2 linked regions of the Rhinolophus ferrumequinum genome follow. The protein of the gene in region 2 interacts with the protein of the main gene of each other region in a pairwise test. Links are inferred from orthologs where the notes say so. Each region holds a gene or a part of one and is shown on either strand. Other genes may lie near its edges.

Region 1 (7,823 bases), on a different chromosome or scaffold from region 2:
GCCAAAAAGCCAGTAATTATCTCAAGTTATTTTTAATGTATCTGTCGGTAGAAATTCCACATGGTCCTCCTTCCTGTTTGTTGAAAGCAAAGAGCTGGAATTCTCCTAATTTGCAAATGGACATGTTACCAAGGCATTAGGATCATTTACTTTTTTCAAGTCACCAATGTCAGCATTTCTAACTATCCCCGTATTGGGATCTCTGAGATTTTTACTTCCATGGCAAAGTCCGTAGTAAAATTTTGGGTAGAAGAGAAATATTCTTTCATTTATAAAGTGAGAGGGTGCAATTTTAAGCAAATTTCGCAGTCATCTCAATTTTAGAAAGGAGTATATATGAAAGTTCAAGTTCTGGAAATAGATTTCCTGAAAAGTCTCTGCTCCTATGTGTCCCTTGTGTACCACAGTTAAAGGCCACTGCTTCAAGTTACCTTGTTGACTTAAGTACCTCAGGACTCTCAATCTCTTGTATCTAAAGTACAATAAACCAAGCTATCAAAGAACCAAGCTGAGTCCTACCAAGATAGAAGGCAGAGGCATTATGTTTCACATTAGGTGAGTTTAACGACGATGACATTGCAAAGTTGTGACAATGGGACAAGAGAAGGTATGTGTAGAACTTATTATAGTACACGTGGTTTACAGTAAAAGTAGCTTAAAAACAAAGAACTACAGTTTTAAAACTTTAAACAAATGGAAAAATTCTCTTAGTGGTTGGAAATCGAGTCGAGTATAAATTGTACTGCTATAATAACAATAAAACACAGATAAAACGAAAAATGGCAATGGTATTGTTGGCAGGTGGAGTCTGCAGAAAGGAAACCACATCTGCAGGAAAACTGGACAATGGAAAGAGAATGATATTGACCCTGTGATCCCACAGGGAGGTAGCATAGCATAGTGGTCCCAGAGTAGTGGCTGTCAACTGGGGTGGTTCTCAGTGCCCCCTGGGAGACATTGGGCAATGTCTGGAAACATTTTATTGTCACAACTTGGAGGAGGAGGGAGATTCTACTGGCATCTAGTGGGTGGAGTCCAGGAATGCTGCTAAACATCTGCAATGCATAGGATAACCCCCCACAATAAATATCCGGCCCTAAATAGTGCCAAGTCAAAACCTTGCCAGAGCACCTAGGTTTGAGTCCAGCCTATGCTAATTGCTGTGTGATCCTGGGTTAGCACTTAATCTGAGCCTCACATTGTTTTTTAATAAATTTTATTGGGGAATATTGGGGAACAGTGTGTTTCTCCAGGGCCCATCAGCTCTGAGTCGTTGTCCTTCAACCTAGTTGTGGAGGGCGCAGCTCACTGGCCCATGTGGGAATCAAACCAGCAACCCTGTTGTTCAGAGCTCACGCTCTAAACAACTGAGCCATCCAGCCGCCCCAAGCCTCAGCTTTCTTATCTGTAAAGTGGAGAGATGATAACTAACCACTAACATATGTTGAGTGTTATGTGCCAGGCACCCCTCTGAGTGGGGTTTCATTTGCTCCTTCCAAAATCCCTATGAGGTACTGTTATCTCGTTTACAGATGAGAATAAAATAAAAGCTCATAGCACGTGTCTCTCATAGTGAACATGAGAGCACTCAATAGTTTTCAGTCCTTAGGTATTTCTTTTTAAATATTATTTTTTCAGAGCAGTTTTAGGTTTACAGCAAAATTGGGTGGAAAATACAGAGTTTCCCTGTATTCCCTGCCTCTACATACATATAGCTTCCCCCACTATCAACATCCTGTTTCAGTCAATGAAACTACATTGACACATAATCACCCCAAGTCCATAGTTTACATTAGGGTTCACTCTTGGTGGTGTACATTCTATGGGTTTGGACAAATGTGTAATGACATGTACCTACCATTATGGTACCATACAGAATAGTCTCGCTGCCCTTAAAGTCCTCTCTGCTTCACCTGTTCATCCTGTCCTTCGTCCATCCCCTAGCAATCACCGATCTTTATACCATCTCCATAGTTTTGCCTTTTCCAGAATGTCATATACTTGGAATTTTACAACATGTAGCCTTTTCAGATTGGTTTCTTTCACTTAGTCATATGCATTTAAGTTTCCTCCAGGTCTTTTCATGGCTTGATAGCTCATTTCTTTTTCACACTAAAATTTCATTGCCTGAATGTACCACAATTTATCCGTTTACCTACTGAAGGACATCTTGGTTGCTTCCAAGTTTTGGCAATTATAGTAAAACTGCTATAAATATCTTTGTGCAGGTTTTTGTGTGGACATAAATTTTCACATCTTTTGGTAAATACCAAAGAATGTGATTGCTGGATCATATGATATGGTAAGGTATGGTTAGGTTTTCAAAAAAAGGATGAATTGAGCAAAGCACATTTTCATTTTTACCAAGTCTTAGCTGTTACTAATGAAATGTCTCAGTTCTCTGGCTGCCCTATTTAATGAAAATCTCCCTCTATGTTTAGAAAAATGTAATAAGTTTCAACCATCTTTGGTAGGAAAACACAGAGATACAGCAAATAATGAGAAATGCATACTATGGATTCACTTTATATTCAGAAACTTGACTGCCAGAGGAAGACTGTAAGTTCACTTTTTTTTTGGAGGGCAAAAAAATAATGACATAAATATATAGTTATGTACTATGAGAAGCTTTCTGAAGATAAAGGAGTTATGAGATGCTATAAAACAGGGACCTGATCTAGTAGCAATATATGAATTATTTTCCCCTGCAAAATTTAGGGGGGTTTTCGATGGACCTAATTTACTTTATATAAGTTATTTATTATTATATAGAGAGCCTCAGATTTAATTACTTAGCATATAGGATAGACAAACCAGTCCAAATAACTCTCTCAGTGCTATACAGTCTAAATCCCAGTAGGAGCTTAATTGTTGGCCAATTCCTACAAGAGTCATCCTTGACTCTTCTTTCTTTCGTGCTCCACCCATCATTAAATCAGTAGCTTGATTTTCAGTCAGGCCATTTCTCCCTTACTGGTTGCTATTAACCCATGCCAAGCCCCATCATCCCTTGCTGGATTATTGCACTAACCTAATTAATCTGCCTGCTTCTGTCCTAGCTCACTCTCAATTTATTCCCCGTACTGCAGCCATAGGGGTCCATTTATTATGTCACCCTGCTTAAAACCTTCTAGACATATCCAATTTACTGAAAGGAAAAAACGAAGTCCTTACCGCAGCCAACAAGCCCTTTAAGATCTGGCCCTCTCTTTCCTCCTTGCGCTACTCCAGCCACATTCTGCCTCAGGGCCTTTGCACTTGCTCATTTCTGTATGTCAGCAAGGCTAGCTCCCTCCCTTGAGGTCTCTGCTCAGATGTCACTTGATCAGGGAGGCACGGGTATACACTCCCTCCTACAGACACACATACCTCTATCCCTTTTCCCCCCCGCTTCATTTTTTTTCTTTTTATTTTAGTTAGCAACCCTGACATAAACATTTATTGTCTGTCTTCCCCACTAGAGTGTGAACTCCAGGAGTGTAGTAACTCATTTGTTCACTGCTGTGCACCAGTTCCTAGCACAGTGCTTGGGCCTATTAGGCATTCAACACTTGTTCAATTAATCTGATTACTCATCGGCATTTGTGGCCCAAGAGACATCTGAACAGCTTGTCACGAAGATCCTTTCCTTATGCTACTTTTGTAATAATTTGGGAAACACTCAGAGCACAGAGTAGGAGACACCAGTCAGCCCCTACCATAAGGGACCTCAAATCTCCCCCACTTATACCCATATGTAGAAATAAATAAGACATGGTTAAACAGCTGCTCTTCTGAGGCCCTAACAGCTCAGCTCAACGATTCCGTGACGCTGTCAGGCCAAGCTTCTGAGACTTTAAAGTGTAGTTTGAGGGAGAAGGAAGCAGGCAGGGAGAGGGAAGCCAGATTAGAAGGAATTAAGGACACGGCCTAGGCTGGTTACAAACATGACTTATGCCTTCACCTTTTCTGTGTCTGCAGACCACCGCTTTTAAACCGTTCTGTTCCTCTCGGGAGAGCGCTAAGGGGCTGCCATGGGCCTCATGAGGCAGCGCCCGCTTAAGGGCGGTCAAGGGATCTCAGCGTCTACCTTAAGGGCTCCACCCACATTTTGGTTCTTTGTTAGCCAGCTGTGCTCAGCAGGGGACAGTGTAAATATTGTTGAGAACGTGCACTTTAGTGTGACTAAGTGTAGCAGAGTGCTTTAACCCAGGTGAGACGTCGCCACCTGACCAAAACCCGAAAGAAGGGACAAGGAACATCTATCATGGCTGCCGGCGCCGGCACAGCGAGAAGCAACCGAAAAGAAATGGCGCCGGGGCGCGCGGCCAGTCTAGGGGCCCAGGGCGGCGGGGCCAGAGCGCCCGCCAGGGACCTTAAAGACCCTCCTGGGCGTTTGGCACCTGGAGACCCTGAAACTTGACTGCAGAATGAAGGACAGTTATTGTCTGGGCAAAGCAACTTGCACAAGAAGACCGGGTTCCGTCCCGCGGTCGAACCCGGCAAAATCCTCTATTCTCCAAACAGAAGGCGTTACGCACACTGCGCATCTTCGCAACAGTGGGTCAGCTAACGACGCAAAGAATGTTACGTCGCGCCGGAGGCTCACCACCCCCCACCCCCACCCCACGTTCTAGTTTAGGCGACGCGAGAACTACGCCCGATCCGTACTTTGTTTTTCTTCTACCAACCGCAAAATGCGTCCATCTCCGCAACTGACGAAAAATGCTTCCAAGAATACCCGTAGTACTCCGCAAAGCCCTCCGGCGACTCCGACACGCTGTTTACGTATGGGCTCCGACGTACGTAGCGTTAAGCTGGAGCAGTCTCAGCTCCGGCCGCCATTTTGTGCAGTCGCTGGGAAGGAAGGAGACGCCTAAACCGCGGCACTGCCGGGTTTGAGCGTAGCCAAACCTGCCCACTGATTTTATAACCCCGATTCTCTGTGTTTTGCTCCCGTCTCCGACGAGAGAGGCGGCGACGGTGGCGTCTGCGACGGGAGACAGCGCGTCGGAGCGAGAGAGCGCCGCGCCTGCCGCCGCCCCAACAGCGGAGGCGCCGCCGCCATCGGTCGTCACCAGACCGGAGCCGCAGGCCCTCCCGAGCCCGGCCATCCGTGCCCCGCTCCCAGATCTCTATCCATTTGGGACCATGCGCGGAGGCGGCTTTGGGGACCGGGACCGGGATCGTGACCGTGGAGGGTAAGGGAGGAGGGGGAGAGGAGAGGCCTTGTGTGTGCATGGGGGTGGGGGGGCTGCTTCAAGAGGAGACCGCCGCCTGCGGGAGAGCGGGAGACTTGGAGCAGAACGCAGGCCTGCGAACAACGCTCCCGACTCGGGGAGGCGAGGCGACCCGGGACATAATAGCGATTTAGAGCACAGGCCTTTGGGTGGGCCTGGGCCCCGAAGTCACTGATGACCTGGCAGGGGGGTGGTAGCTTGGCGACGCCCCAACTCCTCCTTGCGGACGGCGGTCGTAGCGCCGCACGGCCCCAGCCTCGCGGGGAGCGGGAGCGGGAGGGGGATGGCCCGGCCATCGCAGACCCCATCCGGGCCTCGCCTCGCCTCGCTTGGCGACTCTTGGAGCCTGGCGGATTTGAGCAACTCACTTGATGTCTCCGGGCTTCAGCGTTTATCTGTGAAACACGGGTGTTTTTGTTGAGAAGAGGATGGAGGTCTCTGAGTTCAGTCTAGGAAAAGCTTAACGCGAAATGGCTTCCCTTATGTTATCTATAGCCAGAGATCACTGTTAGTCTCCAGTTTCTGAAACTGGAGACTAATTAAAAGTCTGGGTTTTAGTTTTAAAAACGTTTTCAAATTCCTTCAGTCGTATTTAAATGGAAGGACGCACATTGGAACATAAAGCAATGGAATTACCATCCAAATGGCTGTATTTGGGGAGGGAGGGTTTTGGGGTTTTTTCCAAGTTTCGGTCTTATTTTTATTTTCTCTATAAGCGGACTGGAGCGTTAACTTCTCGGCCTATCTAGAAAGTTTTTGATGCAGTTAGGCCATGGTTAACAGGGTTGGCAATTGACAGCATTAAAACAAGTTCTCCCACATACTGAGATTCAAATCTTAATGTCGGTTAAACTAATAAGTTGCTTATGATACAGATCCATGTCGATTTGTGCTGTTAACTTTTTGTAATAAAAGTTTTATCTCTTGGATGAAAAGTAATGTGACGCCACTTCTTAATGTGTGTGTGACCTTGGGCAAAATCCTAAACTGTTGTGAGTCTATTTTCTCATCTGAAAATGGGGATAATAATTGTCTGTATTTTGTATTGTTCTCGGGAATTTGAGAGAATGCATGTAATTGTCTCTGTACTAGGTGTTGTTAATATTTTCTCCAAACATTTCCAAATATTTTCTTTTGTTCAGGTATACAAGTATCAGATCTACTAGTCACAAGCACCTCAATTATCACTTAATTTACAAAATAAAAAAATTATTTTGATTTATACCTTGGTAGGAAGGAAAATGTTTTATCTTGGTGTTAAGTTTGGAGGACTAGAAGTGGAATGTTTGCTTAGTGTTTCACAGTATAGCCAAATTTAGAAGTGAATTTCAATACAACTGCTTAGGGAAAAGAAATTAAGGTTATCTAGTAAAGTCAAAAATGACCCAGTAATTCTTCTCTGAAACTTTATGCCCTAGACTCTAAGGCCTAGAGAAACTCTTGGACTTGTGCCCCCGCATTCATATACAGAGATGTTTATACCAGCATCGTTCATGACAGTATTGGAAACAACCCAAATGTCTGGATAAATTATGGATATTCATATAGTAGAATGCAGTACAACAGTGAAAAAAAAAAGCTTGCATCAACATGGATGACTCACAATATTGAATGAAAAAGCAAATTGTGGTGGGGTAATGCATATAAGGATACCTACAAATGTGACAAAATTATAAATAAAGCATGGGAATGGTTCAAGTTTGAGGTAGTTATAGTGGGGGTTGTAAACATGAGGTATGTAGAGGCCACTAAGATACTAATAATTTATTTCTTTAGCACAGGCGTTTGACTTAATATTCCATAGAATACATGCTTTAATAATAAAACTTTAAAGAGAGAAATAAGTGAATTTTATTGATTCATACTTAGTTTATCCCATATTGATTTTAGTACCAGATGACACTTTTTAAAAAGTTTTAAAAATTATTAAAATGACACCCTTGCATAAGGTCTGTGCCCTGACTCTACCTTTACTATGAAATTTACTTTGTTTTGAATTGCTATTGTTTTGTCCGTAACTGAATGTTACAGCTGAAATGGATTAATATCTTGAAAAGGCAATAAGTGAGATCAGTGTATGTACCGATAGTCCAAAAATGTACGTTGTTCATTTAAACTGGTTTGATTTTGCATGTTAATACATGAATCTTCAAAGCTGTGTTTATTGCAAAGCCAAATTAAACTTAATACTCAATAAAAATATTTTGATGGATAGCATAATATGCTAGGGATTAGGATTACACACATCTTTAAAGGATGGCACGAATGTGCTCAAAAATTCTAAGAGTAAAAGGCTCTCTTGAATATTGAAGTCAGCATATTTATAAAGAACCCCATGTTTCAAATTACATCTTTAGTGTAGGATAGTATGTCTTGGATAATCAGCCAAAGCAACATAGAGAAAGGAAAAAAATATTTTTTTAATTAAGGGCTACTTTGAATAAGTCTAAAAAGGAACCTTTGAAAAGTTCTGTTTTCTTCTAGATCGTTATTAAGGTCTGGGTAGCATTAGAATGCAGTAGCAGTGTTGAAATGGCACCTTCTAGGAACCACATTAATTGATACAAACTAGACAATCTCTAGAAATTGGTCTTTGGTCATTTT
Region 2 (7,945 bases):
AAGAAAATATATATCAAGTGAACTTTTTTGAGACAGCCGCACAAGTACATAAATAAAAGTAAAACTTGTATTAATAACCTTGTATTTTAAAAAAGGAAATTTTAAGGTTAATTTCATTTCCACTGTGGACAGTCATTCTTAATTCTTAAAATTTCCCAACAGTTGAGATCTTTTATCCTAGTAACTTATTCCGTATCCAAGCAATATCCCTTTCCCAGCAGAATTCTTTGAATTCTTTCGTAGTAAATATAAGAGCCCTCATTTTAAGACAGCTCTCCAAAGACCAAACCAGGCAAGATGCTGAAGGAAAGGTTAAAACTCAACGAAATGGTAAGAAGGGGGTGCACTGTAAACACTTCCAGAACCACTTTTTGATTAAAGTGAGTTTTTTTCCTTTCAGAAAGCACCTATAAAAAGTAAAAGACCACATTTTAGGGGAAAGGAGGAATATGAAATTATGGTGCAAGGCCACGCTCTGAAGAAGGTACTTGGTTATGCAACACTTGCAGTGTTCTCCATTGGGGTCGTGTGCAGAGAAGCAGGAGACACTCACCTCATCAACTGGCAATGAACAGCAGCTGAAAAGAGTGGGGTGGGGTGCTGAACTGGGGACTATTCTCACTCCTAAGTGGGCCCCTCTACTTTCCTGGAACTCATGGAGAACACTGCTGTTATACATAGACCAAAACAAGGAGCTGCAAATGCAGGACTCACAGAGCAAAAACTGAAAAATTATGTCAAAATCGTGAAAGCATACCTGACCATATCTCATCTCAAAAAAGAAAACTTTAAAGCCTCCAACTTTCCACAGATAAAATGTTGCTCACAATAGTAACGATCTGAAATTGCACTTGGGTGCAGAACGTGTATTTACCTATATAAGCTCTTTCTTGTTCCCGAGTAAGTCCAGGGGGGATAACTGTAGGCATTCCTGGAATCACGGTCTTCTGTTCCATTGTGTCTTGGTTCCACCGGCTCCTCTTCCGCTTCTTACTTGGGAAGTCTGAAGGCAGATAAACTCCATCAGATGCAAACAAAAACCAGCAGAGTAGCTATCAACAGGCAATTTGGCATATTTGTGACATTAGTCTCAGCAGACTGGGAAACAGAGCTTGACCTACAATGGAAGTGGCGAAGAACAGAAGACCAAGACCAACCTAAAAAAATCAGACACATATGGCCACTACAAGGGGACCTGGACCTGGTTCCGAAAAGTTAACATTTCAGAGAAACTCTGTGAAGTATGTAAACAAGGTAATAAATCTTAATGCATGAAATTTCAGACAGAGAAATAAAAGTATTGACAAAATAAATACTACATCACCCACGAATGCTTTAAAAGCCCCAGGGAAGGTAAGAATAGAATGAATAACCAAACAAATTTGTCAAGTTATATTGGAGGATTGCTGGCCCCTCCCACCTCCACACCCCCACCAGTCACCTTTAGCACAACTAAACCTAGGGCTGGATTCTTCAACAAGATCACTTTTGTCTTCCGAAGTTTAGTCAAGATCAGCATTCAATTTTCCTGGCTATTTGGGAACTTAGTGTCTTGACTACCAAACGTTCAACAAAGAACAAAGTACACAACACTCAAAACCTCCTTCCTCAATACAAAGGCAGAAATCCCCTACATTTAACACACACAAGTTGTTCAGCGTCCCAGGTGGAAGCCCCAACGAGGGGGAGGTATACCAGAATCCTCTAAGGTACATGAAGGAAAGTCAGGCAAAAAACAGAAGCTCCCTCAACAGACACAACAGATTGGACCCCATTAGGCCCTGAAGACTTTCAACCTCTTTTGTTCTCTGTAGTGGAAAAACCCTGCTTTGCAGCCGAAATCGACGAGCTATTTTGGGTACTTTTCTCTCTTTCAGACTCCTCTACCACCAGGAAGAGGATGTTCCACGTCATCACTTGACCCTTTCACACCCTCCTGACCTGCACACCCAACAAACACCCTGTCCACCTACTCGAACCCTTCCACACCTCTCCCCTACACCTGGGGCTAGAGAGCAACAGCGGGCCCCCCAGGTTTGGTCGGGCCGCACACCGCGCCTGCGCACAGCAAACCTCCCGCCCTGATCCGCCCCCCCTTCTCCCAGAGCGCGTGCGCAACACTCTAGGCCCGAAAACCAGGCCGCGCGCCCTGTAGCGCCTCCGCCAGGGCCTCCCCGTGCGCGCGCGCGCCCCTGCCGCGTGCAGCCGCCGCCGTCACCGCTGCCGCGCGCCCCTCCGCCGGCCGGGCCCGTCCGCACGACGCCTCTCGCGCTCTCTCGGCCCGACTCACCTCCTCCGCCGCCGGCCGGGCCCGGCTGCTGGTCCTGACGCGGCGGCTGGGGTGGCAGCGGCGACACGCGCTGGTAGAGCGGCGGCGGAGAGGGCGGCTGCGGCGGCGGGTACGAGGAGCACGGGGAGGGCGGTGGCGGCGGTGGGGGGGGCGGCGGCGGAGGCAGCGCCGCGAACGGGAAGGCCGCGGTCAGGGCCCCCACCGAGCCTACGGGCGGGGGAAGTAGCGGCCTGGGTACCAGCAGTTCCGCCCCAGGTCTGGGGGCAGGCGGTGACCCCGGCTCGAAACCCCCTTTGGGCCCGGGAAGGGAGGGAAGGCCGGGGGGGGGGCCCAGCTTACCCAGCGGCGTGGCGTTTGCTCCGGTCGCCATGGCGCCCCGGGGGACCGGCACCGGCGGCTCCTCGGCGGCGGCTTTTCCTTAGCGAATCTTTCGGGGAGGGGGGGAGGGAGTCGCAGCGCTAGCGCGCGGAACCCGTCCTCTCACGCGGCGGGCGGCGGCGGCGCGAGACGCACAAAGAGGGAGGAGAGAGGCCGCCGCGGGGGCGGGCCGGGGGCGAAGGGGCAGAAGCCTGGATTGGGCCGGGCCGAGGCAAAGGGTCGGAATTGGCAGCCTCCAATTGGCGGAGCTTCAGTCCTTCTCGATGCGCGCTGGGATTGGCCGGACCGTTAGGCCAGGCGAGGAAATGGCGGCCGAGCCTGGCGAGCTGGGAGGTGTCGCAGCGCGCACTTCATTTGTTACTGCGCGAACTGAGCTCGGAGTCCAGAAAGGCGGGGTTAGGGTGGGGCAAACTATGACGTAGGCGCCAAGAGCGCTCTCATTGGCTGCAGTTGATGGAATCAGTCAAACTCGGTTGCATCGTAGTGTCATAGGATTGGCTGTCTCTTGTTCGAGTCTTTTTCCACTCCCCGTCCCTGGGGAGCAGTTTCGATGGGAGTAAGCGAAAGGTCGCTGCGGAAAAGCCACGGCGGTACGAAATTTACGGCGGGGAGGAGTGGAGTAGGAGCGCTCATGCGTAGATGGGTCAAAGCCGCCTCCGCCCCTACCTTCACGGTTGTTCACTGGGTCCGGAGCGGAAAGCCCAAAGTGACGTCAATCCTCGATTCCCATGGTAACACGGAACCGCGGGCTAGGGGTGGGGCCGGCGCGTGCCCGTAAACCGGATCCGTTGACGCCGCAGGTAAAAAAGGACTTCCTGTTTTCTTTGAACAAAAATAAAAAGGGGGGAAAAAGCTATAGTCTAATTGAAGGATTAAAAACACCTGAGCCGATGGAACAACACAATTTTATGTGGAAAAGAACATAAAGTCAATTCTAAAATTAGTTTACACATATGCAATTCCATTAAAGTCTCAGCGGGGTGGTGGTTAATTAAGTCATCTTAAAATCATATAAAATAACTGAAAATAGTGGGCAAACTTGTAAACAAGATTGAGGAGGAGCTGGCCTTTCCAGGTAACACAGTATGAAAGACACAAGAATGATGTAGGAAAGACAGATAAGTGGCACAGAATAAAGTCTGGATATAGATTACCAATATACTGGTAAGAATACCACAAAGGTGGTTTCAGTTCCGTAAGTTTTAGCTAATGGTATGGAATCTTGAATCTAAACCATAAAACAGACAATACAATTTATGAGGCGTAATCTAGGGGTAGAGTTTATGAAGACAGGCAACTCGAACTATAAAGAGAAGATATACTTGATTACCAAAGAAATTCAAAGTGATAAAATTCAAAAGAAAATGTCAGAAAAATATAATTGCCACACGTGATAGAGTTAATATCTTTAATATGAAAGGTCTTCAAAACTAATTTTAAAAAGACAAAATCAATAGGTAACGAGCAAAGACTGAATAGGGAAGTCTTAGAAAAGCAAGAACAAATAGCCAAAAACATGAAAGGATACCAACCCCCTTAGCAGGGAAATGCAAATTAAGGTGATAATGAGCAAACTCTTTATATAACCATTAAAAGAGCTAAAGACAAATGTGCTGACACCTACTACTGTGAAGTTCTTTTTTGGAAAGCATTCTGTTGTCTATTAAAATTGTACCCCTTTCAGGAAAAATAATAACCCTTTCAATGTAGCAATCCCTCTCGTGGGAATCTGCCCCAAAGTAAGGCCTGTGATTATATAATGTAATATATTCTCATGGCAAAAACCTGGAATCAGTTTCCATCCATATGTGAATGGTTGAACAAACTGTAATATCCATAACCTGGAATTAGGCAGCCTTGAAAAGCAGTTAGTTTATACCAACTGACCTACAGGGACTAATGTGCTGTATTTATTCTTAAATGAGGGAAAAAAAGCAAATACGCATTATATGATCTTGTTTTGGTAAAACAAACAAACCCCATATATATGCGTGTGCATGTTTGCAATGATTATATGAGTACAGACAAAGCTATGGTAGGATACACAGCACACGTTATCAGTGAAGACAATGGAGAGGGAAAAGGGTACCTGGAAGTTAATCTGAAACATTTTAAGAACCTAGTGTATTTTTAAAATGTGCTTCATACTTTTTAAAAATGTATGACATGATCCTATTTACATAACATATAAGGAAATGCATTTACAGGACAATCACCAAATTTCCAGTGGTGGTGGGATCTCAGGTAATTTTTCCTTTTTTCCTGTTATTTCTGTATATTATTCTAATTATACTGAACAAGTATTTATATAATAAAATACAAAGCTAATATTGTGGACAGGAAAGCAAAAATATAACGTTTAAATCATACTTTGAAGGAAAAATTAATTTATTTAGTAAATACAACAAATTTTACCGAGGAGCTGAGAAACTCAGTTTCTGCCTTCCAGAAAATCACTCAGGGCTTAAAATCAGATGCCTCCTGATTTTATACAAGGGTGCAGTATAACATATATATAAAACATGTATTATATGTAACATATGTAACATATATATGGAGCATTTGAAATCTTGCTTCCTGGCATGTTGTCAGTTGGCTCAAATAAACTCAGAAATTCTCTGCAGGTTTGGACATTGTTTTTTTCCATTGGGGAATATTGGGAAACTGTGTTTCTCCAGGGCCCATCTGCTCCAAGTCATTGTCCTTCAATCTAGTTGTGGAGGGCGCTGCTCAGCTCCAAGTCCAGTCGCTGTTTTCAATCTTAGTTGCAGGGGGCGTAGCCATCCCCACCATCCCATTGGGGGAATTGAACTGCAAGCTCACGCTCAACCAAGCCATCTGGTCCCGCCTCCGGCAGCTCAGAGGCAGCTCAGTTTCTTCAATCTAATTGTGGAGGGCACAGATCACTGGCCCATGTAGGAATTGAACTGGTAACCCTTTTCAGAGCTCATGCTCTAACCAACCGAGCAATTTGGCTGCCCCAGGTTTGGACATTCTTACATCGACACCAGGAAGCAAGATCTCAACAGACTGAGAAAATGCTCTGGAGAATGACAGTTTTGCAGTTTCTTTTATACATTGGGAATTAAGGAAGAAAGGTAAGGAAGAGTACGTGAAGGTGGGAGAAAGCAAAGCGGGCGTTGTTAAGATTATGTGCTCTCTTGAGGGTGATTACACCTCTGAGGGGTCTGGAAAAGAGGCATTTCAAAGATGTGTTAACCTCGATGCACAAGAATGATGGACAGGGCTGGCTTAAGGCAGAGAAAAACCTTTTAGTAAAGAAGTTATATGACTACCCACTGTGATCTTCCCAGTTAGGAATTTATGATCAGATCACCCTGTGATCAGGTTTGTTACCAAGCCCCTTTTTTGTCCATAGTATTTACTGAGAGAAGTGAAAGTATACAGCCACACAGACAGGTACACAAATGTTTATAGCTTTATTTATAATAGTCCAAAACTGGAAACAGCCCACATGTTCAACAGGTGACTAGCTAAACACTGTGGTACATACACACAGGAGAATACTACTTGGCAATAAAAAAGGAATGACTGTTACATGCAACAACATGAATGAATCTCAATAATGGTGCTCAGTGAAAGAAGCCAGACAAGAACAGAGGACATATTGTATGATTTTATTTATGTAAATTCTGAAAAATGCAAATGCATCTATGGTGACACAAAGCGGATCAATGGTTACGTGGGGATGGGGAGGTGAGGAGAAGCTGGAGGGTGTGATTACAAAGAGCAGAAGAAGCTTTTGGGGATGTCAGAGATGTTTGCTATCTTGATTGTGGTAATGGTTTCACAGGTGTATGTGTCAGTATATTTTTAATAGTACATTTTTAATATATGCAGTTTATTATATGCTGATTATACCTTGATGAAGCTGTTTTTAAAAAGAAACTATAGAAGAAAGCAACTACTGGGAAAGGGATCTGCCCACAGTTCTACACAGAATACTGATTTCACTATCTAGGAAAGGATTATCTTGGCATTATATTTTTTTGCTTTTTTTTTTTTAAGCCATTATCGAGCTTTCATTTTTGAGTGATTACTTTAAAATATTTAAACTTAAATGTTTTATTACATAGTATTTGATACAAACAAAAGGATGTGTGTACCTTATGTGAGTTAGGAATTGAATTATTAATTGAACACCTGTGAACCTACCACCCAGCCTGACAACCAAGATATTACCAATACCTCTGCAAATTCCTGGGGTCCTGTGTTACCCCACTCTCATTCTCCCCCCAGGGACCATCATTTTGAATTTTGTGCTGCTTCTGATCTAATGGAGTTTTTTCACATGTGCATCTATCACCAACTAGAAGTGGTTTAGACTTGCTATCATACTGTGTGTAATTTTATGTAACTTGCTGTTTTAATTTGGCATTACCCAAGATGCATCTGTGTTGTTGCATTTTGTATATTACCATTATTTTCAATCCTCCCAACAGCCCTGCAGGCAGACTTAGGATATGTACCTGGGAAAATGCAGCTCAGCAAGCTCGCCCAGTCCAGGGGCCTGACCCCAGGGCCTCCTCTTCACCACACCACGCTCATTCCTTCCCTCGGAAAGCAAGCCCAAGGGCCTGCTGTGCAGCAAGCAGTGTCCCACTGCTGGACATGCCAGTGAACATGGCCACATTCTCGTGGTGGTTCTCCTTTTGACCCTCACTTAACTGGTGTATGGGCCAGCTCCCCAAACACCCTGAGGTGCCCACGCCTCTTCCACTCACCCACAGGATGGCCGAGAGAAGCTGATATGACCCATCCCGGAAGCTTCCGCCCAGGGAGGGCAATTTGACAGTAGCTATCACAAGGACACACAGGGCCCCCTCTGACACAGCAATGCCACTCCAGGAATTGGCCCTAGAGGACACCTGAATATATAGAGGGGCATTGGCATAAGAATATTTATTGCAGTGTCATTTGTAATATCAAAGTAATAGAAACAACATAAAATTTCATCAATCGGGATCTAATGACAGTAAATTAACGTTATGGGAAATACATACAATGGAATACCACTGACTATAAAACAACAAAGGGGGAGGTACTGATCATGGAAAGCTCTCCAGGGTAGATTTTAAAGACCAAGATGCAAAGTGCGTGTGATTATGTTAGACCATGGTATAAAGAGGGAAGAATGAAACATACAGGACCGCTACATATGCATAAACACTTCAGAAGGCTTCAGAAGTAACTGGGACCTGAGTGGGAGACGTTTCATAGTACCTATTTTGCATTTTTTTAAAATTGTTTACCATA

Evidence for each region. The genes of interacting proteins can lie anywhere in the genome.
Region 1: the proteins of SF1 (region 2) and DDX17 interact in binary tests that used the Homo sapiens proteins (3 or more experiments, as listed by UniProt). The link is inferred for Rhinolophus ferrumequinum from reciprocal best matches to the Homo sapiens genes SF1 and DDX17.

The regions. Positions count from the first base shown.
Region 1 is NC_046293.1:8,627,502-8,635,324, forward strand, and holds the start of DDX17 (probable ATP-dependent RNA helicase DDX17), read left to right. Parts: upstream 1-4,816; 5' UTR 4,817-5,130; coding exon 5,131-5,180; intron 5,181-7,823. UniProt on the Homo sapiens protein: As an RNA helicase, unwinds RNA and alters RNA structures through ATP binding and hydrolysis.
Region 2 is NC_046294.1:6,767,267-6,775,211, reverse strand, and holds the start of SF1 (splicing factor 1), read right to left. Parts: upstream 3,050-7,945; 5' UTR 2,661-3,049; coding exon 2,291-2,660; intron 1,004-2,290; coding exon 875-1,003; intron 1-874. UniProt on the Homo sapiens protein: Necessary for the ATP-dependent first step of spliceosome assembly. Binds to the intron branch point sequence (BPS) 5'-UACUAAC-3' of the pre-mRNA. May act as transcription repressor.